Linked DNA regions of Oreochromis niloticus. The protein of the gene in region 3 purifies or fractionates together with the protein of the main gene of each other region. This does not show direct contact. Links are inferred from orthologs where the notes say so. Each region holds a gene or a part of one and is shown on either strand. Other genes may lie near its edges.

Region 1 (8,351 bases), on a different chromosome or scaffold from region 3:
AGACAGAGATTATGTTTGACCTAAAAGACAAAGAGTGCTAATTATGTGATGCTTCTGAAAAACTGAGTAAATTTCATGTTACAAGTAATGGCCAGCTGATTCTGCCTTACTGAAGTACTTTTAAAGATGTAATACACACTATTGTTTTGATGGTTTATATACACCATTACTATTGTCCTAGGATGGACGTGCAGAATGTTTAGGTGTCAAAAAGGATACGGACGCTGACAGCCTCAGCATCTGTGCTCAGCAATCTCTTCACTTCCTTTTCCACATCAGGAGATTCAATGTACTGCAAAAGACAGAGAGATCGAGTTACTTGTAGTATTAGCAGCATCTCTCTTGCCGTCCTCCTCAGTCTCTATCTTACCCACACACACACACCAAGGTAGCAGCTGGCCACATGCCAGGAAGTACATTAGCGATTAAAAACAGAAGGGGCCAAATCAATATGGCTCAGCTCTGCACCTTCAGGAAGATTTATTCAGAAGACAAAGTAGAAGTGTAGTGCTCCAGCTCCACTCGCTTTCACTTTGATCAAAGCAATAGTGAAATAGCTTTTTTGCATGCCTTTGGGGAAAACTAAGATGGAAAGGCTTTATTTATATGTAAATCTTAGTTTTCACTTTTACCACAGTTCCTGTTTTATGAAATGTAAATGTCTTGTTGGAAGAGAGCCTAGGAAAAAGATGGATCATCAAACGAGATGCTAAGGAGATGGATGGGACATGGGAGGGGACTGCTGTAGGGAAAATGAAAAATGTCAGAACCTTTTTTTTCGCAGTCTTCCGAAATCTCCTCTTGCGCGTGTTCTTCAGAGGGCAGGTGACTAAAGAGCAAAACAATGGGATTAGTGAAGCCAAAAATCAGTCTATTACCCAAGGAGGGGACATTATGTTTCCTGAACTGCTGATATGCCAAGTTTTCAATATAAACAAGTCAAAAAGCTGCTGTGTGTATATAATTACTTACTGCCGTGATTCCAAACAAATTTCTTGTCCTTGTCTTTATCCTTCTTTTTGGTCTTAGGGTCAGTGCCAGTTGGCTCTTCCAAAGGGGGGTAAAGGTCTCCATCTAGTGTACACACGAGCATCTAACCCGTGGATGGGAAAAATGAATGCAAAATATTATGCTGATTAATCTGCACTGCAACTACACTACAACTGTGGAAAATAAATTTACATAACATGTATCTAAAATCCAAAATGTACTTTTATTTTAAACCAATGAAATAATGGAAAACTGTAAAAATTTATTTCCAGTCTCTTGCTTACCTGGCAGACATCTGCAGTCTTGTAAAACGTCTTCTTATCCACCGTTTTGAGTGACTCAATCATGCAGGGCAGATCAACCAGTTTGCAGGCCAAAGGAACACGGTCTACTCTAACTATGCCATGACGACCATCAGCTACAAATTAGAGGGACAAATAACTGTTAAGGGACATGTGGGTGACATTTCTTTAACTAGTTCCATTAGTATGCTTGTTACATTTAAATAACAAAAAGAATGAAACTGCTATAGAAATATGTACAATGTTCAAAATTCTGGACCCAACTGTAAATAAATAACAAGACAGGGAGACAGTGTGAGACACATTAAACCAGTGCCAAGATTGTGAGCAGCTTACGGTGCAACTCAATGGTGAGTCTGTCCTTCATGTTCATACTGCTAGACTGTGCAATCCTTCTTACTGTTGAGGCATACTCCTGCAAAAGAAAGAAAAATGAAGCCAGATCATATGTATGGTGATAAAACTGAATTTCCATCAAACAATGAATTTCTGCAAGTGCAAACGTCTCACCGAAGGAAGCCTAAGGACAAACTGGCTCTCCAACTCATAAGGGGCATCCTCCTTACTCTTGGAACCGACCTTCCCAACTAAAATCAAAACACATCACCATAATGAAAGCGTTAAAATATGTCTTGCTTGCTATATGATGACAAACTACAAAGTTTGTCATTCTACTTTAACATTAAAATATACAGTACATTAGGTACTCATTTTTTCCTATTTTGAAGTAAGAAGTAATATAGTGTCTAATATATTAATCTCTGGCTCTCTTCCACAGTGTCTTTTTTCACAGTGTCAGATGGATGCCACTCCTGAAGCCTGGTTCTGCTGGAGGTTTCTTCCTGTTAAAAAGGAGTTTTTCCTTTGCCTTTCCCACTGAATGCTTACTCATTGCATTTCGTTTGATTGCTGTGGCTTTCTCTGTATTATATTTTATTATATTATATTATAAATTCAGTTCAACTGAATCATCTGCTAGATGGACTGGTCTGTGGACCATTTAAAGCATTTTTGGTACCTTAGCTGGGCTCTTTGTGCAACTTTAAAATTCTACTACATTATATTTCAGGGGCAAACACTACACTCCACCACATTGTTTGACAGCTTTAATTACTGATCACTTTATAGTCTTTCATGTTCTTCCTGTGGAAAGAAACCTCCAAGTTTGGTGATTTTATATGCAATATTTTACTTTGAGTGTTCTTTGTTTTGCTTTTTTTTTTAAACTTGTGGAAAATTGTCTTTAAAGGTATGAGGTTTTCACTGGGCAGCAACACTAGAAATATATAAACACTAATTAATATCTTAAGTACCTACAACAGTAAAGTTTATTTCAGTGCTGACAAAAAAGGAACTTACAATGTAATAAGCTAAAAATGTAAATAGCCAAACCATTTTTATTTCTCACAGTGCGTATATGCAAACCAACAAATGTTATTGTTAGTTCAATATAACATTTAGTTTATTATATTATACTATGAATGAATAAATGAACGAAAAAATAACCAACGTTCCTACCAAATGTACTATGAATCTCTTTTCAAATTCTATCACGAATGTCTTTACATCAAAAGTAAAACACCGATAATTATTGCTAATAAAGGTTACTTGTGCATTTTACATTAGTGATGTCTACCACACTGTGGACCAGTAACACTATAGGAGATTATACATAATGTTCAAAAGACAGGAACGACAAACGCTAATTTGCGAACACAGTTGTTAAAATATGCCACAGACAACATGTTCTGTTACATCATCACCATTATTGTTACTATCAGCTTCATCTTAATAACCGACAACTAAAAATGTTTCTTTACCTTACAAAAGTGGAGGCTAAGAGGCTAACAGCTAGTTATCTTTAGCATAAGGATAAGGGCAGAGGATTTTAACGTACCTTTCAGTTTAGATGTCATCGTCGTTTTTCAAGTTTAGATGGTGCAGCTGTATAGATATCTTTCAATGGCAAACACGCATAAACATGACAACTCTAAGTAAAAAAAAACGAGACTTCTTAGCTACACGGTGATAGCATAATCACGAGCGAAAACAAGAGTGTTGTATAGGGCTTTGCCACTTTCAATACCTCCTCGGAAATTTGTATTTTCTGTACCTTGGCTGTACAACTCGTATGTCTGAGCATTAAATTACAAATTTAGGCATATTTTAGTTAATAATTAAGTAATTATAATATATATATATGCATATTTTGTACTGCCATGTTATTAAATAAGGACTAACAGTGCAAATTAGTTTGTTTTTCAGTGCATGACAGTAAAATAAAAAATTCCGATAAATCGGAACGTCACACGCAACCATCCGTATCACGAGACTTGTCAAAAGTACTTTTGAAAAACAAAAAATAACGAATATTCTTTATGCAATATAGTTAAATGTATCTATAAATATTTAAAATTATTATTTGATGTTCGTATCGTTATGCTAAATGGTCTGTAGGTAAAAGAAAAGTAGGAAGGAAGTAGGAATGAGGAAATACCACAGGAAATATGCGTCTATTTTTTATTTAAACTTATTCTATTAAGAATTAAACCGTAACCTAAAATAAATGTTAAGTTCGTTATTATATCTGGTTTATTTTTATTTATTTATTTTCAATACAACACAAATCGATAGCCTAAAGGACTGTTGGACTCACTTCCCGGTAAGCACGGCTATCGTCAAATATTTCATAATAAAAGATTTCGGGGAAAACTATCATCGCTAATAAGAAGCAAACTGCCAAGAAAACTGCCAGATAGACATTTTTGTTTATTTAGAAGGTTTATTCTTTTTGCGGCATTAAATTTTTCCACAGGCGTTGATTTTAACCACCCACGGTACGGTGGTGTGCTTTTAATTTGAAACATAAAATTACACTTTCTGGAAAAATTACTTTTCCCTTCCGGGCCGGAATTGGTTTCTCTTTTGCTGTCGTCTTTCTGTTGCCCACTCCCCTCAGTTTATGAATAATATTTGCACAAGTTTATTTTTACCTTCGGCGACGTTGCAGCATTTGGCCGCCGAAAGTCGAAATGGTGTTTAAAGTGACTGTCAGCAGTGCCCGGAGGGCAACAAGGACGCTGTGGCTGCTCGTGCTAGTAAGCCTGCCTGTTTGCATCAGTGTTTGCCGAGCATCATCACCTCAGGAGGACAGTGCCATGGAGAACATCGTTACAGAGAAAAAGGCTGAGGAGAGCCACAGACAAGACAGCGCTGACCTGCTGATCTTTATCCTGCTCCTCACCCTCACCATCCTGACAATATGGTTGTTCAAACATCGGCGGTTCAGGTTTCTCCACGAAACCGGGCTGGCAATGATTTATGGTAAGATGGTCCATCGTGACAGAGAGACGTCATCCGAGCTGTTACACTCATTGTGTCCTAATAGTTAGATTTTAAACAGATGAATGTCAACACCACGCTTGATAAGTTCGCCCCTGTTAATGACATACTTCATTTGGGCGAATTTTAACAGATTTATGCAGCAGGACTGTGCCAGTTTGTGTTGTGATTGAGCAAGCGTAATTTAACGACAGTGAACGCCTCTTTTACACTGCTTAGTCTTAAAAATTACATCTGAGCACCTAAGCAATTTCGACAAATACTGTCTTATGAATCCTACTGAATTTTAGTTCTTAAATAACTTGTTTTTGTTTTGTTTTTGTTTTTGCTTTTTCGTGCAAGTCACAAGTGATTATTTGGACAAGTGCCAATCATGAGTGTGGAACTGGACTTTGCTTCCACTTCTGTATATTGAATTTCAGGAGTATTGTTAGAATTCTTCCAACCCGTAGAAGAGGAAGTGGTCGTGCCATTGTAGAATCATCGTAGAACCATATCTAGCAGATAATTAATAATTTCTGTTTGGCTGTGCAGAGCTTTTAGAGTGTAAACATTCACAAATCACTCACTTTTAGTTTTTATGAAGGCTCCATAGGATGGATAATAACATTATGCTATTATTTTAGCTGTGACATTACTGTCTACTACATGGTTACCAAACCATGCATTACTACCATAGTAACAGATGTTTGATCTGAGCATTTTAAGTCAAGATCAGATCACAAATCAAAATTTGATCAAAATAGCTGGAAAGATGGTTGTCATCCTTCCTCAATTTTCTCTCCATGAGATATTTAAAGACATGTTGTGATGTTTATTTTGTGTGACATATTCCCCTCCGTTGACCAAGACAAATTTCTCCCACTGGAGACAATATGGTCTAATCTAATCTAAACTAATTGAAATTCTAATTTGCTGGTACACTATCTGATAGGGTAATTTATTTTCACATGGATGTGTTAAGACTTTAATTTGAGATCCAAAGCTGTTAGGTACGTCTGTGATGTTCAGACTAGACCTTTGTTTAATTTTTTTTTTCTACAAATTAATTCCACTGAAACATTTTAGACCATCTGTAGTGTCAGGTAGCCTAAAACTGCACTCACCATCCGTTTTTGTGGCAACATGCCATAAACCATTAAAAATCCTGTATTAATCAATTCTTCTCTCTCTACTGTTTTTTTTTTTTTTTTGTCTTTCGTTTTTATTAATTTTTCCCCAGGCTTAATTGTTGGAGTGATTTTGCGTTATGGCATTCATGTTCCTCGGGATGTTAGCAACATCACCTTGAATTGCCAGGTCAATGCCAGCCCTGCCACTCTGCTGGTCAATGTAAGCGGCAAGTTCTACGAGTACACATTGAAAGGGGAGATCAATGCCAATGAAGTGAACGACGTGCAGGACAATGAGATGCTGCGCAAGGTATACTCAGTCGTGATGTCTACATACAAGAAATTGTGTTACAGAGATGGGTAATTATTTTCCTAAGGGACTATGTGAGAAACTGGGACTGTTGTGGAGGACAGTGCCAGTAAATTGAACTCAGTATTAATTTTATCTCTGTATAAGTTATTGGTACAGCCCTCCACAAGAGTCCCAGTTTCTCCTGTATCCCCTTGAGAAGATTAATTCCCCACCCCTGAGCTGGAGCAATCAGATGATTTAATCATCAGCGAAGACATAATTGTCAGTTATTTTACACTGAAATGATAGCAGATGTTTAAATCTGCAAGCACTGATGATCAGACAAAACCAGCTACCCCACATGTTTCCCTTCTGATATTTTAAATACAGCATAACTAACCAATGCAAGAGAGAAATCATAGTCAGGTTAATTTGTAATGGGATTAAATGGTGGTTTTAGTTTTTTGTGAGCTGAATGATTTGTGATTCTCTTTCTGTAATACTAATTATTTATTATCAACATTAAGTAGCTATTTCAAATTTAAAAGAATAGCTGTACATCTAGATCAAATCTGTTTGAAGACTAAACAGGGCATGAAATGCTCTGTTAAAATAACTGGCAGAATGCCTTTATTGGTGATACAGAATGTAAAAGAAACCATAAAAGTAGTTGTTTTACAGTTGTCATGTGCTGGGGTGTGTTTGTCACTTTGTACTTTGTCGGTTAAACAGCTGCACAATTACATACAAGCAGTATTCTTGATGCTATTCTAACCACCAAACAAGTAAACAATCTGCTGAACAAGTTTCATTTTTTTAAGTCATAATCTCACGCTCAGCAATTTAGGATTGTTTTCCAAACATGAATACATCTAATCCATTGTCAGAGATTGAAACCACATACTGATTTGAATGTAGCACTGCTCTAGATTTAGCATCTAAAATTGGCATTAGCCTTAGTATGTGTATATGTATGTGGCTAGAAGCTGTCCTCTTTCTGTGACATACCATGTTACTTTTATAGTAGGTTTTTGTTTATTGTCCTGGAAGCTGTGTCATGATGCCCCAGATGTGTCATTTTTGATTAATTAATATTTCAGTCGATCCATAAATGCAACAGCATAGAAAGAAATATTAATGAAAACAACTTGTTAATTTTCTTTTGATGCAGATCGGCAATTTTGTTCTGTGTTTTGTATAACTCAGGTGACCTTTGACCCTGAAGTGTTCTTCAATATTCTCCTACCGCCTATCATCTTCCATGCTGGCTACAGCTTAAAAAGGGTACAGTATATCATATAAAAAGTCAACATTTATTAAATACATATTTTCAGTATGTGTTTGGCTCTTGATTAAATAACATCATATTTTGACTATGAAATTTTAAAAGTCCATTTGTAGTCTCTTTATAGACCGCAGGGGTTTCATCAAGATGAATAATTTATTTTATAGTAAGTATGCATTTGATTGCTGATCTGGTAACTCTTCTGTCTTTCAGAGACATTTTTTTCGGAACATGGGATCCATCCTGGCTTACGCCTTTCTCGGGACAGTCATTTCCTGTTTTATTATTGGGTAAAAGAATTAATTTGCAATTATTACAAAAAATATTTTATTATTAAAAAGAACCAAAAACATGAAAGCCATTCATCCTTGTGATTTTACAACCCTTGTGCAACTATGTATATACAAAACAGACACTTTATGGCAGAGCAGTGTTTGAATATGTCAGTGTTAAGGTGTCCCTAAATGCCTTTAAAGTTATTGTTGTTTATGATGATGGACAAGACCACCTGCTCTTCCACTTCTGCCATCAGGTTGCTGATGTATGGCTGTGTGACGCTAATGAAGCAGGTGGGCCAGCTGGGTGGAGACTTTTTCTTCACTGATTGCCTGTTTTTTGGGGCCATTGTCTCTGCCACAGACCCAGGTACATATGATTTTTCTCAGATTTAAAAGTTTTCTTTTCTAACTCAAACCAAAAATAATGTATCCTACTTTTTGTTACATATATTAACTAAAGTACTGTGCAAAGGCCTTTCCACAACCACCCTGCATTCATATTTTGTGCCCAAAGAGTCAGATTTTCCAGTAATCTTTTAAAATGTTCTTGACAAATAGTTGTGCTGAAGTTTTTTTTAAAGATTTTTTTAGTTAGTTTTTTTTTTTTTAATTAGAGCTGACTGCTTTTCTTTTACTCATTTTCTTTATACCCAAACATTTTCAGCTGAATGTTTTTATGTTTGTTCAGCACCTTGAGACTGAGCCATGAATAATTAAAGTGAAAAATGTATGTAATCCAAGGAATGAACC
Region 2 (8,584 bases), on a different chromosome or scaffold from region 3:
CTTCAGACAAATACACTGTACCTTTAGCTGACCGCTTTATTTATGAGTTACATTTATAATTTAGATTTTCTGATACGTGACGTGTTTAAAAAAAAAAATACAAAATTTTGTATTTGGTCGAGAAACCCTTTTTGGCAGGTACAGTGGTAAGATGTTTCTTGTAGTTGGTCATCAGGCTTACACACATCCCAGGAGAGACGTTGGACCACTCCTCCTTATAGAAACTCTCTCAATCCTTTAGGTTTCTTGGATGCTGCTTGGTAATTCTAAGCTTCAGCTCCCTCCACAGATTCCCTACAGGACTGAGGTCTGAAGACTTGCTAGGCAACTCCATGGCCTTAATGTGCTTCTTCTTTAACCACTCCTTTGTTGCCCTGGTTTTGGGTCACAGTCATGCTGGAAAACCTATTTTCAGTGTTCTGTATGACTGAAGGTTCACATTCAAGAGCTTACGGTACATGCTCCCATCCATTGCTGACTCAATGCGGTGAAGTTGCCCTGTATTCCTTGCAGAAAAACAGCCCCAGAGCACAACGAATCCACTTCAATGCTTGACTGCAGGGATGGTGTGACCATTCATTTCTTTGGAAGTGAACAAACTCACAAATTCAGCAGGGGATCAGATAACTATTTCCCCCACGATAGACACAGAGCCAAAATCCCAGTAAAAAAAATAAACATTTCATAGTTTCAGCTTTTAAAATGAGTGAATTTTCTGCGATTGATTTTAGTTATTTTCAATAAGTCAAAGATTTGTGACATTTGTTGGACAATGAAAGTAGCATGCTGGTGGCAATCAAAGTCCAAGACAGAAGCCTGCTGAAGCCGTTCATGCATTTACTACAGGATTTTAGATAATTCTATGGTTTTTGAAACAAATTAAAGCAATTCCACACCTGTCTGAGCTGCTGAGCGACACACTCACGAATGGAAAAACTAGTACATCTCTTTGCCCAATCCAGTGACACTGACTGTGTCAAACTCCCCAGATGGAATATTGAATAAAGCAAGGCAGCTAATTCAAACTGCTCCTCTGGTGCTCCCCAGTGTTCAAAAATACATAAATAAATATATTAAAAAAGTCAAACTCTTTCTCACCTGCAGACGTGCTAGAATGGATGACTTCTTAGAGTTTGATGAATAGGAACGAGAGCAGGATGTACTGCAGAAGCGCTTAGTCTTTGAATAGAAGTTGTTGATATTCCCGGTTGTTCCACACATCTCACAAACCACTGTGGAAAAAAATGCAATCAAAAAAGTTTTTTCTTAATGTAAAACATTATGAACATTGTTAAGAGTGCAGGTGCACCTCACCTGGTCGCTCGTTTAGTGCCTTTAACCCTCCTCCTGTCAGATGTCGTTCTTTACCTCTTTCATTAGTATCTTCACACTCTAGGGGTGCCATTTCATTGTATCCAGCCTATGAAGGAAATAAACAAACATCCCACCTGTAAACAGCAGGTGTAATACCCCCCAACCCACGATCCAAAATAAGTGCTACTCACACTTATGCTTTGCTCGCTTGGTTCAGCTGTAATGGTCCTGTGTTGGATAGAAGGCAGGCAGCTACTGCAGCCCGCGCCATTGCAGGAAGGACAGTGCGGACGGACAAACACTGTAGGAGCAGCTCCTGGCCTCAGCTTCAGAGGCCCCGATGCCAGTCTGGGTTCAAAGTACTCCTTGCCAAAATGTTCATTGCAAAGGTAAGAATTGGGTGTGGCAACCCACTGCATGCGGGTGCGCTGGACCTGCTTCTCCCATTTCCGAAACTCTTCAGGGTCCTTGGGGAATTTAAACAGGGTTACACCATCTTCAGTAGTTTTTCCACATCCATAAGCCACACAGTGGTAAGGCATCCTCGGAGCTTACACCATGACCACCTTTCATGGATCCTTTCTTCTTCTCAGTTGTGCTGTTTTGTTCTCTGAGCTGTGCAAAGAAAAGAAATAACTGTATCTTCCAACCAGAAGTTGGTTTTCTAATTTTCACACACAACCATCTCTAGGGTTTACAGAGAACGGTCCAAACAAGACAAAATATCCAGTGAGCAGCAGTTCTCTAGGTAAAAATTCCTCTCTGATCCCAGAGGTCAAAGAAAAATTCCCAGAGTGCTATAACCTGACAGAAAAGCACAACTCGTTGCAACCAAACTATGCTGAGCATCGCTAAGATGGCACAACCTACCTAAATATTGCTGCTGACCATTTCCACCTCACTGAAAACAGTGTACACATCTTCTGATCACTGCTTCCAGCAGGATAACACACCATGTCACAAAGCTCAAATCATCTTAAATTGGTTTCTTGAACATGACTGTACTCAAATGGCCTCCGTAGTCACAAACCTGCAGTAACTGTGTGGCGCCATCATGTCAATATGGACCAAAATCTCTGATAAATGTTTCCAGCGTTATGAAGAATAAAGGCACTTCTGAAGGCAAAAGAGGGTCCAACACACTACTAGCAAGGTGTACCTAACAAAGTGGCCGGAGAGTGTGTCTTGGCTCTATTTGCCTGATTAGGGCATTTTCTGCATTGAAAAACCTACATTAAAATAACAGGAAGCTTCGCATTTTATTTTATCTGTAATGTCGACATAATGTTTAACAAACACAAGACAGTGAAACATGACAAACAGAAGTTTGTCTTGAAAAGGCGGTCCTTTCATCAATGTTATTATTATTTCTAATATCGCCGTTAAAGCAAGGTTACAGGTGACTGCTTCATAAGTTGAGTCAAAACGTATACAGTGTAACTACTGTACACCAAAGCTAAATGATAACAATGCTAAAAGTACATGTGTGCAGTTATGAAGCTGCACTTTGCTCGTCATGACTTCAAATGTGTACTTACGGGAGGTAAGTGAATGCTGGCACTCAGTAAAATGTCTCTTAGGTGTACAAACTGATTTGGGTATCAAATTTTAATGTAGCTTCATAGTTGCCCGGTACTGTAATGTGGTCGCTCACATTTTAGCGTCATTTACTTACGCGTGGGCAAGGAATTCTGGGAGTTGATGTTTTCACGAAAATTGGAAAAAAGTCGCTATCCTGGTCACAAATAAGTCATTTTAGAGGCATTCGGGTGTTTGTACGCTGGTTTCACTCGATAATCGTTAAAATAAAATGTTACTAATTGGAGTAATGGCAGTAGAGTAGATGTTTTAGTGGTCTGCAAGAAATCGGTCTATGAAAAAGAAGTTTGCGGACACCTTGCTATTCAATAGTTAATCTTAAGATTTTGCACAGTGTGGAAAAATAAATAAACATAACCAGTGATGAGGCGAAATATACAAACTTCAGATTAAGTAAAATATGTTTTGTAATTTAGAATATTTAAAGCAACCGCTGCTGGGTTCAGCGCTGACAACAAATGGCAATACCTCTATGAGGCAGTCATTTTTTTTTTTCTCGTAACATGTGAGATTTGTTATGCTCCCTTGCAACCCTACTGGCTTTGCAGTGGCAGTGTAGTAGACTTTGGGCGTTGCCCGGGCTTAATTGCTAGTTATCTGCATCACCTGACAAGGTGTGGATGAAGGCAGACTTCACGCTGGATGCTGTAATACTCTCCTGCTTGCAAGTTTCACCTTTGAATGTATAATGATTTAAAACCAAAACAACCAAAAAACCATGTGTTTCTGAAAAAATCTGGTGTCAGCCTTGATTTTGTGTTGAGTCAGTATTGGTGGGACATAACAGCTTAAAGGTTGACTGGTGAAATTTCTTGACTTTGAGTTGTGTTGCTCCTAAGTAGTGCTGATAGACAGCAAAAAGTATTTTTTGGCTACTGTACTTAGTCATATTTTTGCAAGAACTGCTTAACTAACTAAAGAGAAAGCACCTTAGAATAGAGGATCCATCTGTGCTTCTCAGAGCTGAAACATCTCATCATCAGCTTTTTGGAGAAGCCCCTGAAGAATCATTCCTCGTGGTGACTGCCCCAAAAGGAACCACTGCTAAACTAAATCAATAAGAAAAATAAAACTCAGAGGAATTGAATTTTGAACCATTTGAATGTGATTTGGCAGTAGCTGCTGAAGTGATGATATTCACAAGTGTGGTTCCCAAAAGGAAGTATGGAGGAAGAAGAGGGTGACACACATTTACTTCAATCATAATAAACACACAAACGAAACCAAATATATAATGTTTTGTTTCTTAATCTAGACACTGTGTTCATCAAATGTATTCAGTTAGGGATGTCTTGATGAACAAGATATTTTGGCAGTCACAGGTACAGCTGCTCTGACACTGATGATAGATTTAAGTTTTGGGAGGCTTGGAAATATTTAAAATTAAAAATTATATTAATTCACTTGTATTTACTTATAATTTTGACAGCTGAGAAGTTTTGTTAAACCACATTAAAGCAAAGTCATGTTAAAGAAAATAAAATTTGCTTAGGACTGTATGCAGTCCTGTGAAAAACTAAGTATACCGCTATTGCTAATACAGAAATGAACAGGATAAGTAGCAGTCAGGTTTGCTACTTGATTAATTGATCATCCGTAAGATGAGGTTTTGGTAGTTCGCTAGTCTGGATCATTCAGGTGAGTATTAACACCATGCTAGAGTCTTCTCGGAAGTGGATGTCCCAGCAAAAAAAGAGAAACTGCAAAAAATCCTAAGAGCTACATCTCAGCCTCCAGCATGCTATAATTTAGCATGTAGCATGCTAAACTATAAAGTTTGTCGCAGTACAATTAGAAAAAGCCTGAAGATGACTGTGTATGGCTTCTTTGGAAGGGTTGCCTACTCTCTAAAAGTAACATAGAAGCAAGGCTTAGGTTTGCAAAGTTGCATCTGACCAAATCACAGACCTGGGACAATGTCTTTTGAACAGACAAGACCAAAGTGGAGATATTTGGTCATAATGCACAGAACCACATTTGACCAAAATGAATCTCAGCATATCAGCACAAACACCTCACACCAGCTGTCAAATGTGGGGTGATGATTTAGGCTTGTTTTGTACCCACCAGGACCTGGGCACCTCAACCATGAACTCCTCAATGTACCAAAGTATTCTAGAGTCAAACATGAGGCCATCTGTGCGACAGCTAGCTTGGCTTGGCTCAAATCGAGTCATGTAACATTACAATGATCCCAAGCACTCCAGCAAATCTACAACAAGTATCAGAGTATTGGAGTGAACAAGTCAAAGGCCAGACTTCAGCCTGAAATGTTGCACCTTAAGAGAGCAAGTGAGAGAAGAGTGAGCCAAAATTATTCTGTAACAATGTGAGAAACTGACAAAGTCATACAGAAAGTGTGCATTTCACGTTATTGCTGCTAAAGGTGGTTTTACAAGTTGCTGAATCATGAGACGCACTTAGTTTTTCACAGAGTCCTATGAAAATGTACTATTTTACAAAGGAGTGTTTGAGAAAAGACATCATGTCAGAATAAAATCTAAATACTTGGAGCAAAGATTTAGAAACGGACATTGCAGCAGAAGACTGGAAATTGTGTTGCAACTGAAACAGTGAATTCACACCTCAGATTAACACACTGTAACTGGTAAATGCGAACATCTATGTAAGTCTTGCAGAATCTAACCACAATAAAATGACTAAATGCACAAAGACTGAATGTTACACTCTGGATTAGACAAATGATGCCACACCTTCTACTCAAAAGAACAAACACAAGGAGTTATGAGCAATATCTGAAAAGTTTTAGGGAGCTTTCTTGAGCTTTGTGATCGGTATGTAAGGAAACTGGAGAGAATTCTTCTTAAAGGACACAATGCAAGTGTGTCCTTTAAAATGTGTTGACGGTTTTATTGTGGAACAGGATGGTTTGGAAGCTACATCTAAAATAGGACCAGTGAATTTGGTGACCCTGTGACCTGATCGGGCTAATGAACAATTTGTTTATACTTGATAACAACTGAATGTAATTGGAGGAAAATTTTGGACTTTGACTTTTCTACAGAATATTAAACAAGATCTAATCAAGTTTTCGTGCACTAATGTAAGTGTACTCAAATTGCCGCTAAGACTTGGTACTTTAACGTACTGTAGTGCCTGCTGTTTTGCTTCTTAACAAACGTGCAATATTATAATCTTTTAATCCCAAAGAAAATGTAGGTAATTAAATGTGTAATCTAGCTAACATTAACAGATGGTGATGCCACTAGTTTTGCAGTAATATGAAAAATGATCAAATGACCACACTTAGAGAATATTCATGAGATTTTTGTTGTTGTCGTTTTGCTTTGGGGGGGTTTTTAGCAAATAGGCAAACCACAGATCTCAAACTAAACTATTTTTAATAGCTGAACATACTGACTACATTCCGTATCTTGCTTTTTCTTACTTTTTACCTATCATATATGTATACTGCATATTTTAAAAGAACTTTTTTTTCTTTGCATGGCCACATAGCAAAGAAACAAAGATGACTATGATTCTGATTCATGAAACATACCTGAACAAACTTAAAATGGCACATTCTGGAATTGCAGAAGAACATTTCAGCTATCAGAACATCTGCCTTACTGTTACCCACACTCTGAGAAATCGCAGGTGTAGTAAAAGTGCATTTCTTTCTTAGTGTGTGCAATCTCTACACACTAGTCATTACTGGACCCTAAAGGTAAGGTAAAAACTACTTCCTGAATATGGAATAAATGCAGTAGTTTTTACCCTTTTTCTTATTATTCTTTTTCATAATTATGTGCACCTTTTTGAGGTACAAAAAGATGGTAAATGGCTTGGTCCTTATATAGCACTCTAAGTGCTTTATACATGCCTCATTCACTCCAGCACTTTTTTTTTTTGCACCTAAGTGCTTTCTAGCTAGCATTCACACACATTCATGCTGTGATGAACGAATTACAGAGCACCTTTGGGTTCAGTATCTTGCCCGAGAATATCTAGGTATGCAGGCTGGAGATTGGAGCAGCCAGGGATCGACTCACCAACCTTCCAATTAGTAGATGACCAGCTGAGTGATATATAAAGCATAAAGTGTATAAAGCATATAAAGGCTTCAGGTTTAAAAAGTACATCTTTACACTGTTTCTTCAAGGCATAACATTATGAAACTATCTATGCTTAGTAAGATTGAAAAAGAAAATGTTACTCTTATTTATGTCTTGATGCATTCTCAATCATCCAGGAAAGTAAATCTCCAAAAGTTGAATCTGTTCATCTGGACGTAGCGTTTTGTGGGAGAAACGTTTCTCCCACAAAACGCTACGTCCAGATGAACAGATTCAACTTTTGGAGAATTACTCTTCTTTAGTTTAGAAAGCCTTCAATGCATTATCACAAGTTTCATTGGACAGTCTATTGCACCAGCATGATGGTGCAGTGGTTAGAGGAGTTGCCTCACAGGAAGAAGGTTTTGGTTTCAAAGCCAAACCTTCCTGGAGCTTTTCTACTCCCTGAGGCTGCTGTTTTTTTTTTTTGTTTGTTTGTTTTCATCTAAGAGATTTAAAGATCCATCCTATGTTAACTACTGTTTCTAAACATATTATAAATAAAAAAATTTCATCAACTGATGTTTAAGACTGGTTCATGTGTCTTGTTCATCCTTAGCTCATTGACAAGCCCTTCCGGCAGGCCTGGATAGAGAGGGGACCCTGTTAACCCTTATCTGTTAGTCTTGAATCTTGTTATTTGATGTTCTATTTGGTTGCCATAGTTGGGTATTGTTACTTTTAATTTTTGTAATTATTTCTACCTGCATTTGAGTCTTCAATGTAGATTATAACTGAATGCCACAACCAACAAAATAAAGCCTTTGGACAGCAGCAAGCGGCTCTTTCCTTTTTAAAGGGGACTATTGATCTGAAGCCATAGCTCACCCCTGAGCATGGGCCTCACCAGTAAAGGTGTACCACACCTTCCTAGTTCCTCCTTAACTTTGGTCCTTCCTGCTAGCTGGTTGTAGGCTTGCTGCACAACCAGGTAATCAGCCACTTGCTACAATGGCTGCCACATGTTTTCCAGAGCCCACTTCCTCTAGCTCTTCAAAAGGGAAGCATGGTCCTTGCTAATGCCCTTCCTCCTTATCACTGTAGCACCCTAGTCACCACCACTCTGTGCAACCAGAGTCATCCTGCCTGACCAGATTGACATTGACCAGATTGACATTGATCACTACACTACAAAACCTACGATGTCAGGCACTGCCTGCTTGTCCTCCTGGGTCCCATGACAACAGGCCCAACCCTGTCCCATCTCCAAGGGTTAAGGCCTCTGGTTAGGCCTCAGTGCCCAGAACGGTCAACACCATGACCCTCCAGAGTATACTCTATCTGGGGTCTCTCCAACTTACTGTTTTTCCCCGGGCTCCCTGTGTTTTCTGTGCTAGCTTCCCAAGAGACTGTTGCTCTACCTGGGAACTCCTTAGAAACAGTGCCAGCTGGCCCATTTTGCACAGCCATAGCCACAGTAGCCAGTGCGTGCTGCGCAGCCCCAGCCTATAGAAGTCAGTGTCTCCTTGGTAGTTCCATGCTGATCCTGTGGGTACTGAGCATCCAAAGCCTATGTGTCTCAAGATTAAGATTAAGCTTAAGCTTAATGTACAGAGCAGGAGTGTCAAACATAATGCCTGGGGGCAAAAATCAGC
Region 3 (8,059 bases):
CAAGTTTTCAGCTAATAAGTTCTAGGGGAAATCACCTGGTTGGTACAAAAATACTATTTCATCCCATCAAACTTATATTTGGCATTCCTCAGATTCAACAAAAGAAATGGGCACATATTAGCAGCTTTCGTGACAGGCTCTTAGTAAAAAATAAATAAATAGAGATAAAAATTTAAAACTGGTTCTTTTCCAAAGTTGTCTGTTAAATATAAGATAAGAAAAAAAAAAGGTTCATCCCTTTGAGTTATGTGGCTTTACAAAAGCAAAAAACATTCTTCTGAAAATGGTCAGGAACAAGGCCTGGACTGAAAATGCCCAAAGAAAATTTTGAATGACCTTCAGAAAGCCTAAAAACACAAGACCTTTTTAAAAATTACAAGAAAGTCTCGCTCCAAATATGGGATGGCTCAAGAGTTTTTCATAGGACTGTATATTTTTCCTTAATAATGTTTTTTAGATGTTCCAACTCTTTTGTGCTGTGCACATTTCATTTATATAAAAAAATGACAATCAATTACTTACATGAACTAACCTAATAGTTGTAGTTAGTGCCACTACTCTTCAATCGCCACGCTGATACCTGCCAATCACTCATCCAAAATCATGCTCATAAATGTGCCACAGCCAATCATGCTTTTTCTTATTTATCTTTATAATTCTTCTAGAAAGAAGATCCCATGCCAGATAACATCACTAGACTCCCTACTCCTGGATAACTAAAATAAAAATAACCAAAACTGTTGGTCAAATATTCTATGATGGTAATATACCTGTGCAGCTTGCTAAAATGTATGCGCAGCAAACAGAGTTCAGTATTATATCACACATTTCAGCAGAATCATTTAAATAATCTCCCATCTTACCGAGCTAACGTCCCAAATCTTCAGGGTTTTGTCATCTGATGCAGATACCAGGAGGTTGGAGTCAGAGGACCAGGCCACATCAGATATACCCTGCAGATTCATGGGAACTGATCAGGACTTGAAGCTCTGAGAACAGCTAGCATGGGGCCAATGTAAGAACTAATGGAACCATGGCTTGGCTCTTAGTAACGACTCCAAACATCTGATCCCAATTGACTAAACATCAAGGATGCTACAGTTGCTCTACGTAAGTCCAGCCAATAAAAAACAAAACCATTAACACGGCAGGAGTATAGCTGAGAATTAGTCAAACTCACAAGTTTGTGTCCAGATATGGTTTTCTCAAACTTGCCGTCATACGCGCCCCAGATTTTGATCAGTTTATCAGCAGCTGTAGAGACAGAATGAATACGCACTCAGCATAGGTAAAAAAACAAAACAAAACACATCATCAATCTTAAAACTCAACAAGAAGCTGCAATAATTTATTGATAATTATTAAGTTGTGAAAAAAAATTGGTATTTCCAGCAGTGATTTTTACTCACATGAGCTGGCGAGCCATTCTCCACTCGGACTGAATTTGACAGAGGACACAGCTTTGGTGTGGCCCGCTAATGTGAACTTCAGGCTGTAGTTTGGCTTTGCAGGTGCCGACTGTAAGTGAAAAAGAAATACGACATTTAACAACTCTTGGCTGAGATGTGACAAATACACTAACATTCATCTAAGTCTATATTAAACAAAATACATTCTCTTATGAATCCCAACTATGGCTATTTCTTGGCCCTAAAAGGCTACAGCTGGAACAGAATAGTGATACTCCAAAAATTCAAACCTTGCTTTGGCTGGCAGATGCTGACGGCGCTACTGGAGGTTTTGTGTCAGTCTCTGGTTTCTTGTCTTCAGTTGCCATGGTGAGGAAATTAGCATTTACTGTGTACTATCCTAAAGCAGAGGAAAAAATAAATATTGAAATAAATACAAGAAGACATTCTTTATGCCACTGGTGATGATCAGTATATCAGTTATAAATACCAATGAACACATATAACAGCGAGCCTCAGTAACCTTTCAAGAGGTTTGCATGAACAATATCACTGACAGCCTGGATAATATGATTACATTTTTCAAACTGTCTCTTTCACGCTCAGACACTTGGTGACTGACAAACAACTAGTTTAAAATAAGTTTAGCCAAATTAAACTTCCCTTTCAAAACAAAAACTCAAAAATACTAAAGCCACTTTTTGAAGTGATAAAAGAAAAGATTGTATTTATAAACTTCACTACTGCGTCATTAACTTGATTTATAACTACTACTGTGTAAATGCCTGTCAATGTTTATGCCTAAAATAAAATAAGACACATTATACAATACAATTCGTTCGCTATTAAAATGACCATTCAACACATGTTTCTAGCTGTTTTTTCATTGAACTTTTTTCAAATCAACTATTTTATGCACCCAATAAATCTTACATCTTCGAAAAAGCTATTCTTAGTTTCTGATAGGTTTTCAAGCAGCAGATACACTGGCACACTCAAAATTTCTTCAGAAATTTTCTAGTTTGTGTTTATTTATTTATTTACACGATGACTATGCAATTTTTTTCTAGTCTCTAAAATCCTGATATTAAAGTTAGTCAATGTAGACCTATAAATACATACATACATACATACACACATATATATATATAGATATAGATATATATATATCCCTGCATTAACTGCAACATTCCTTGACAGTCAAGTTGAAACGAATTTTAGACTGAATATAGTCGACATTTAGTCTGATAGTGGTATTAAAATCCAATGAAAGGGCAAACCTCTTTCTCCATCTCACATGACAACAATGATATATATTGCATAACGCCAAAAATGCACAAAGTATATACGAAACCACCTTGGTACATTAACTTTACATTAACAGCAGTTTAGCTCACGATGTTTCCTTTTAGTTTTATGTCCCTCATATGAGCTGCAGTTTTTGCTAAACGCCGCATTTAACCCAGTTGGTACCGGCTGCAGCTATTTTTTCTTGTTCGTGTTGCTGCTTTCTCATTTAGCTCCAAGTTTAGCCATTTAAGCTAGCTTAAGCTAGCTAGCGTTGCATTACTTCGTTGTGGCTACTTAAAACCACCAAACAGAAACGCATATGCATTCAGCTAAGACTAGATGGCATCTGTTTGCAATATATTAACATGAATTCGCGTTTAAATGGAACAAACGTGCGAGAAAAGAGAATATCAAACAAAGGGCGATACGGACTCCCTTGGCTGGAAAAATTCAACTCTTGACTATGATCGTATTTGAACGACAGCTAGCTACGCTGTTATATCACTATTCAGATGTTTAACCGTCAATCATAACGCCACGTTAAAACTGGTGGTTTTATATAAACGCTAAAGGGTATTTGATGATGCAGCCGCCGCTGCTCGAAATGCACTGGTGCTGTTGACAAACTGGCTGAGGTGCCATGGAGGGGCCCTCCATTCACACAATGAGGATTCAGTCATAAAGACGATACTCACAGATTAATGGAGCTTCACGGTCAGATTGTTACTCCTCGTAAACACACGAAAGGGTAAAAAAACACCATGTATGTGTATTCAGACGATCATGGAGAACGTATACAGCAAGTGACTTGCTCTTGGATGATTGCCTGTAGGGAAAGAGAAGCGGGGAATGTGGTGTGCTGTGGCTTTGCGCATGCGTGTTACGCTCTTCTTCTTCTTTGGTTTTCACGACGGGACGCAAACCAACGTGTTTACGCGCATACTGCCACAATCCATTAAACAGAGAGTTTTGCATGTCATTCATTATTATATCTTCCATTTTTATAAAACAGTATTAAACAACTGTTGATAAAGACGTTTAGAGAAGGTCAGGAGGAGTTCCATTGTTTCTAGAGAATATGGGGCATATGATTGGGTACAAGAGATGAAATGTGGCAAAGAAATATGTTAAGGTGGTGGAGGACATCTAGGAGGACAACAAGACAGTGGTGTGGTGTGCAATAGGAGTGACAGATGGATTTGAAGGAGGGGTGGGATTATATCAGGGATTGGCTCCAAAACCACTTCTTATTTGCAGTGGTAATGGACAGGTTGACTGATGAGATCAGGCGGGAATCTCTGTGGACTATGCTGTAGAGAGAGTATAGAGCAGGTGGAAAAGAGTCCGGAAAGGTGTAGGTATAAGATAAGATAAGATAAGATAACCTTTATTAGTCCCACACGTGGGAAATTTGTATGAGCATTTAAGTCCGTTTGAAGCAAGACATATTAAATATGTGTGAATGAGAAGGAAACACATGTAACATTGAAAATCCAAAGAATAAAGGTAGTGAAGGTGGATGAGTTTAAATGGTAGTTTAAATCAGTGCACAAGTGAAGAGGAGTGTGCAGGCAATGGTGGGATCAGGATAGCAGCACAAGTCAAAGGGAAGGTTTAGAAGATCATAATGAGACCTGCTATGATGTATGGTTTGGAGATGGCGGCGCTCATAAGAAGACAGGAGGTTGAGCCGGATATGGCAGATGTGAAGATGCTGAGATTTTCATTGTGAATTACCAGAATGAACAAGATTAGAAATGAGTACCTGAGAGCAAGGTTGATCAGCTTGAAGACAGTTGAACAGTGTGTAGAGAAGGGGTAGTGGATATACTGGACAAAGGATGTTGGAGATGGAGTTGCCAAGCTGGAGGAAAAGACGAAGACCTCAGAAGAGGCTAATGGATGTAGTGAAGGAGGACATGCAGGGTTGGTGTGGCAGAGGAGGAAGCTAGACGCAGGGTTAGGTGGAGGCTGATGATCCACTGTGGCGACACCTAAAGGGAGCAGCCGGAAGAAGAAGAAGAAGAAGAAGAAAATCAATGCTCTTCTCTCTTGGGATCATTACACTTTCGGTCATTTTGGGTTTATTCTCGACACCCTCCGACACAGCAGGCGGCGGTATACGCTGTTAACTTTGGCTAAAAAATTGGTCACAGAAGCCTTCGACGAAGGGGAGCTTGTTACTTGAAGCCATGCCCGCAGCAGGTTTGTGTGGAAGTTTTCAGCTGGTCTAAGCGCAGCCAGGAGTTACCGTATCTCGACTTTTTACTCTGTTTGGCCTTCGGTGCGGTGTGAACGGTCTTAAATAGAAACTATCATTTCAAAGTACCTTCATAAGAAGAAAAAACGTGTTGGTAAACACTCGTGACTCTCCCGTCATCCTCTGCGAAACAAGTTATGTGGTACATGTATGTGTTGCCGTTATCTGAAGGTAATTGCGAGCGTTCAGGTAACAGCGACTGGCGTCCCTATAAAAACTTTGTAAGTGGTAAGTTAACCGCGGCAGAGCAAGGCCCAACTGTAATAAACAAACCCCAGTAGGCACTGCACAAGATACTGTGGTGGGTTTTTTATTGCTCATTTGCAGTGAAGACTTATATTGGCCATGCGCCCATATAGGTTTACCTTAACCTGCTAGCCAAGTGAAGCTAACGTGCTGAACGTGACTGGTTAGGTTTCCCAAGAGCTGGCCTCCTGATTATTTAACTCTGTCGTGCTCATTTAAAACTTGACAATCCAATTCTTCCTTCTTACTCCGTTAAGTTAGCATTATATTAGTTGACTTGTATTTAATGGTATGATATTACATGAGCTAGGGTTGAGATTTATACCGCGTCTGAGATCATGCAAACTCTTACTGCCTTCTCCAGTGGCGATGTTTAGTAAAATGAGCAAACGAAATAAAATTAGATTTAAAGAAACATTTGATCTGGAATAAAGGAAAAATAGATTTAAATGTTAAAATGGATAAAAAGTAATATCACCTCACTAAAACTTGAAGTTAAATACATGAAATGTATTTAGTCTTCCCCAGTTTGGTTTTATTTATTGAGAAAAGGATGCGTTCACAATAATATGTCTTGAAATATAATGTGTTAACTTAGGCCAACAAAATATAATAATATTTGAAAAATAAAGTTTTGTAAGCTATTTAAAAACTAAACTGAAATGAACAAAGCCTCTCTCAAAATTAATTGAAATGCATTAGAACTGCAAATAAAATTGAAATAAGAAAAAATCGAAATCACCTGCTCCTTTCTGCTGCTCCCTTTAGGGGGCCCCACAATGGGTCATCTCCCTTCATTTCACCCTATCCGTAGCACCCTCCTCTGTCACACTAACACTCTCCATGTTCTCCTTCACTACATCTAAGAATCTCTTCCTTTGTCTTTCTCTTTTCTTCATACCTAGCAGCTCCATCTTTATCATCCTTTGTAGCAACCTCAGTCTAAGCTGACCCTTTCATGTACTCATTTTTAATCTTGTCCATTCTAGTCAGTCCTAATGACAATCTTAGATCTTCACCTTTAACGCCTCCAGCTCGACCTCCCGCCTTTTTGTTAGTGCTCCAAACCATACTTCATATCCCGTCTCACTCCCATCCTCTAAACCTTCGCTTTCACTTTTGCTGCTATCCTCCTGTCACAAATCACCCGTGACACTCGTCTCCACTCACTTCCCCCATCTTCACTTTCTTCTTCACCTCTCTCGTGCACTGTCCTTTGCTTTTAATGGTTGACCCTCACTGTCACATGCATCCTTGTACTAACTTTGATTCCTCTTCTATCCGATGCATACCTCCATCTCTCCACCTTCTCTAAATATTAAAATTAGAATAATTGCAGGCAGATTGCTAGACAGCTAAATAAACATAGCTGATTCCAACACCATCAGTGAAACAGCCTCTTAAATTTTGTCAGTGTATTTGCCAAGAAAACATTGCTCAGTTCACATGCCCACTAAACCTTTATACACCCTCCGTGTCTTCTGCTTATCTGAAGCCGGGTTGCAGTATTCAGACATCCTTCTCCCCAGCCACTCTTTCCAGTTCCCCATGGGGGTCCCAAGGCATTCCCAGGTCAGATGAGATGTATAATCTCTCCAGCAGGTTCTGGGTCTACCCCAGGGTCTCCTCCCAGTTAGGTATGCCCAGGAGCCTTTCTAACTAGATGCCTGAAATGCCTCAACTGCCTCCTTTCAGCATGCAAGGAAAAGAGCCTTTATACAGTCATGTGCATTAATTACTAATCAGATTGTTTTACATAATAATAAAATGAATGTGATAAGCTTCAAAAGATATGAGATATAGTCTGTTTTTGAAACTATATCAATGGTGTGAAGTAATCAGTCGCTTCCTCTTTTTAGAGTTTTATATTTGATATTTGGAGAACCACATGATCATAACAGTCTATTCTTTTATGTCAGCAGGCCACATTGTGTGGTTTGACGATTCCCCAGCCTGCGTCATGCATAGTTTTCACAGTGTGTGACAAGCTGTCAGGTGAACACTACATGACTTACAGAAGATAACAGAACCCAGAAGAATTCGTGCAGCCACCATGTCCGCAGACACCAACCAGGACCCTCCTCAGCTTGTTAATCCCCCACCTCCCGAGGTGACCAATCCCAACAAGCCAGGCCGGAGGACCAACCAGCTGCAGTATATGCAGAACATAGTGATCAAATCCCTGTGGCGGCACCAGTTCGCCTGGCCTTTTTACCAGCCTGTCGATGCAGTTGCTCTTGGACTGCCAGTGAGTAGTTTGCACATGTTCAGCTGACAGGGTTACAGTGCATCAAGTCATTTTTATGGGTTTTTCACAAGTCATGGTACAAAAATGACTTCAGCCTCAGGATTGCAGGGCTTTTCTTCAGTTAGTTGCACAAGTAAGTCATAGTTTTGCTCATAATGAAAATATTTTTTATTTTTTAATTCCACAATGTCCCCGTTCTTTATGCAAAAGTGATGTTAACTGGGCATGATCATACTGTTATATGATCTATTTAGCCATTGTTGTTAAATATACATTTACTGGTAGCTGCCAGCAGTTTTTTCCCCTAGGTATATATAGATATATTTTTTGTAGTTTTCAGATACGCTAACTTGCTTTGTGCTGCTGGCTCTGTCTGTTCTTCTTTTCTGAAACTACTAGATCTTCTTTTCGTTTTGTTATTCTCTCACTGTTAATATTAATGTTGTCTAAGATATTTTTTTGTTTTTCCTCCCTTTTATTTTTGTTCCTAATTCTCACGCACAACCCACATACCACAGTGAGTATAGAGATAATGGAATGCAGTGTAACTCTGTCTTGCATCTTATCCTAGTTTTAGCCATACTTCAGTAAGAAATGACTCAAACC

Evidence for each region. The genes of interacting proteins can lie anywhere in the genome.
Region 1: the proteins of wdr5 (region 3) and taf7 purify together in Homo sapiens (affinity purification with western blotting; 3 studies listed by BioGRID and IntAct, with this or other methods). This does not show direct contact. The link is inferred for Oreochromis niloticus from reciprocal best matches to the Homo sapiens genes WDR5 and TAF7.
Region 2: the proteins of wdr5 (region 3) and l3mbtl2 purify together in Homo sapiens (affinity purification with mass spectrometry; 4 studies listed by BioGRID and IntAct, counting the BioPlex papers as one, with this or other methods). This does not show direct contact. The link is inferred for Oreochromis niloticus from reciprocal best matches to the Homo sapiens genes WDR5 and L3MBTL2.

What each region holds. Positions count from the first base shown.
Region 1 is NC_031966.2:19,243,242-19,251,592, forward strand, and holds the start of taf7 (transcription initiation factor TFIID subunit 7), read right to left. Parts: upstream 3,380-8,351; 5' UTR 3,209-3,379; coding exon 3,190-3,208; intron 1,880-3,189; coding exon 1,803-1,879; intron 1,708-1,802; coding exon 1,629-1,707; intron 1,409-1,628; coding exon 1,275-1,408; intron 1,094-1,274; coding exon 973-1,093; intron 830-972; coding exon 771-829; intron 293-770; coding exon 220-292; intron 1-219. Other genes in the region: slc9a6a (sodium/hydrogen exchanger 6a), read left to right, coding at 4,325-4,616, 5,857-6,056, 7,245-7,322, 7,537-7,613, 7,856-7,968. UniProt on the Homo sapiens protein: The TFIID basal transcription factor complex plays a major role in the initiation of RNA polymerase II (Pol II)-dependent transcription.
Region 2 is NC_031973.2:22,452,476-22,461,059, reverse strand, and holds the start of l3mbtl2 (lethal(3)malignant brain tumor-like protein 2), read right to left. Parts: upstream 3,380-8,584; 5' UTR 2,990-3,379; intron 2,984-2,989; exon of another isoform or gene 2,853-2,983; intron 1,930-2,852; 5' UTR 1,857-1,929; coding exon 1,506-1,856; intron 1,421-1,505; coding exon 1,315-1,420; intron 1,233-1,314; coding exon 1,099-1,232; intron 1-1,098. UniProt on the Homo sapiens protein: Putative Polycomb group (PcG) protein. PcG proteins maintain the transcriptionally repressive state of genes, probably via a modification of chromatin, rendering it heritably changed in its expressibility.
Region 3 is NC_031972.2:29,230,655-29,238,713, forward strand, and holds the start of wdr5 (WD repeat-containing protein 5), read right to left. Parts: upstream 3,584-8,059; 5' UTR 3,395-3,583; intron 1,810-3,394; 5' UTR 1,778-1,809; coding exon 1,700-1,777; intron 1,519-1,699; coding exon 1,410-1,518; intron 1,255-1,409; coding exon 1,181-1,254; intron 954-1,180; coding exon 864-953; intron 1-863. Other genes in the region: bromodomain-containing protein 3, read left to right, coding at 7,259-7,453.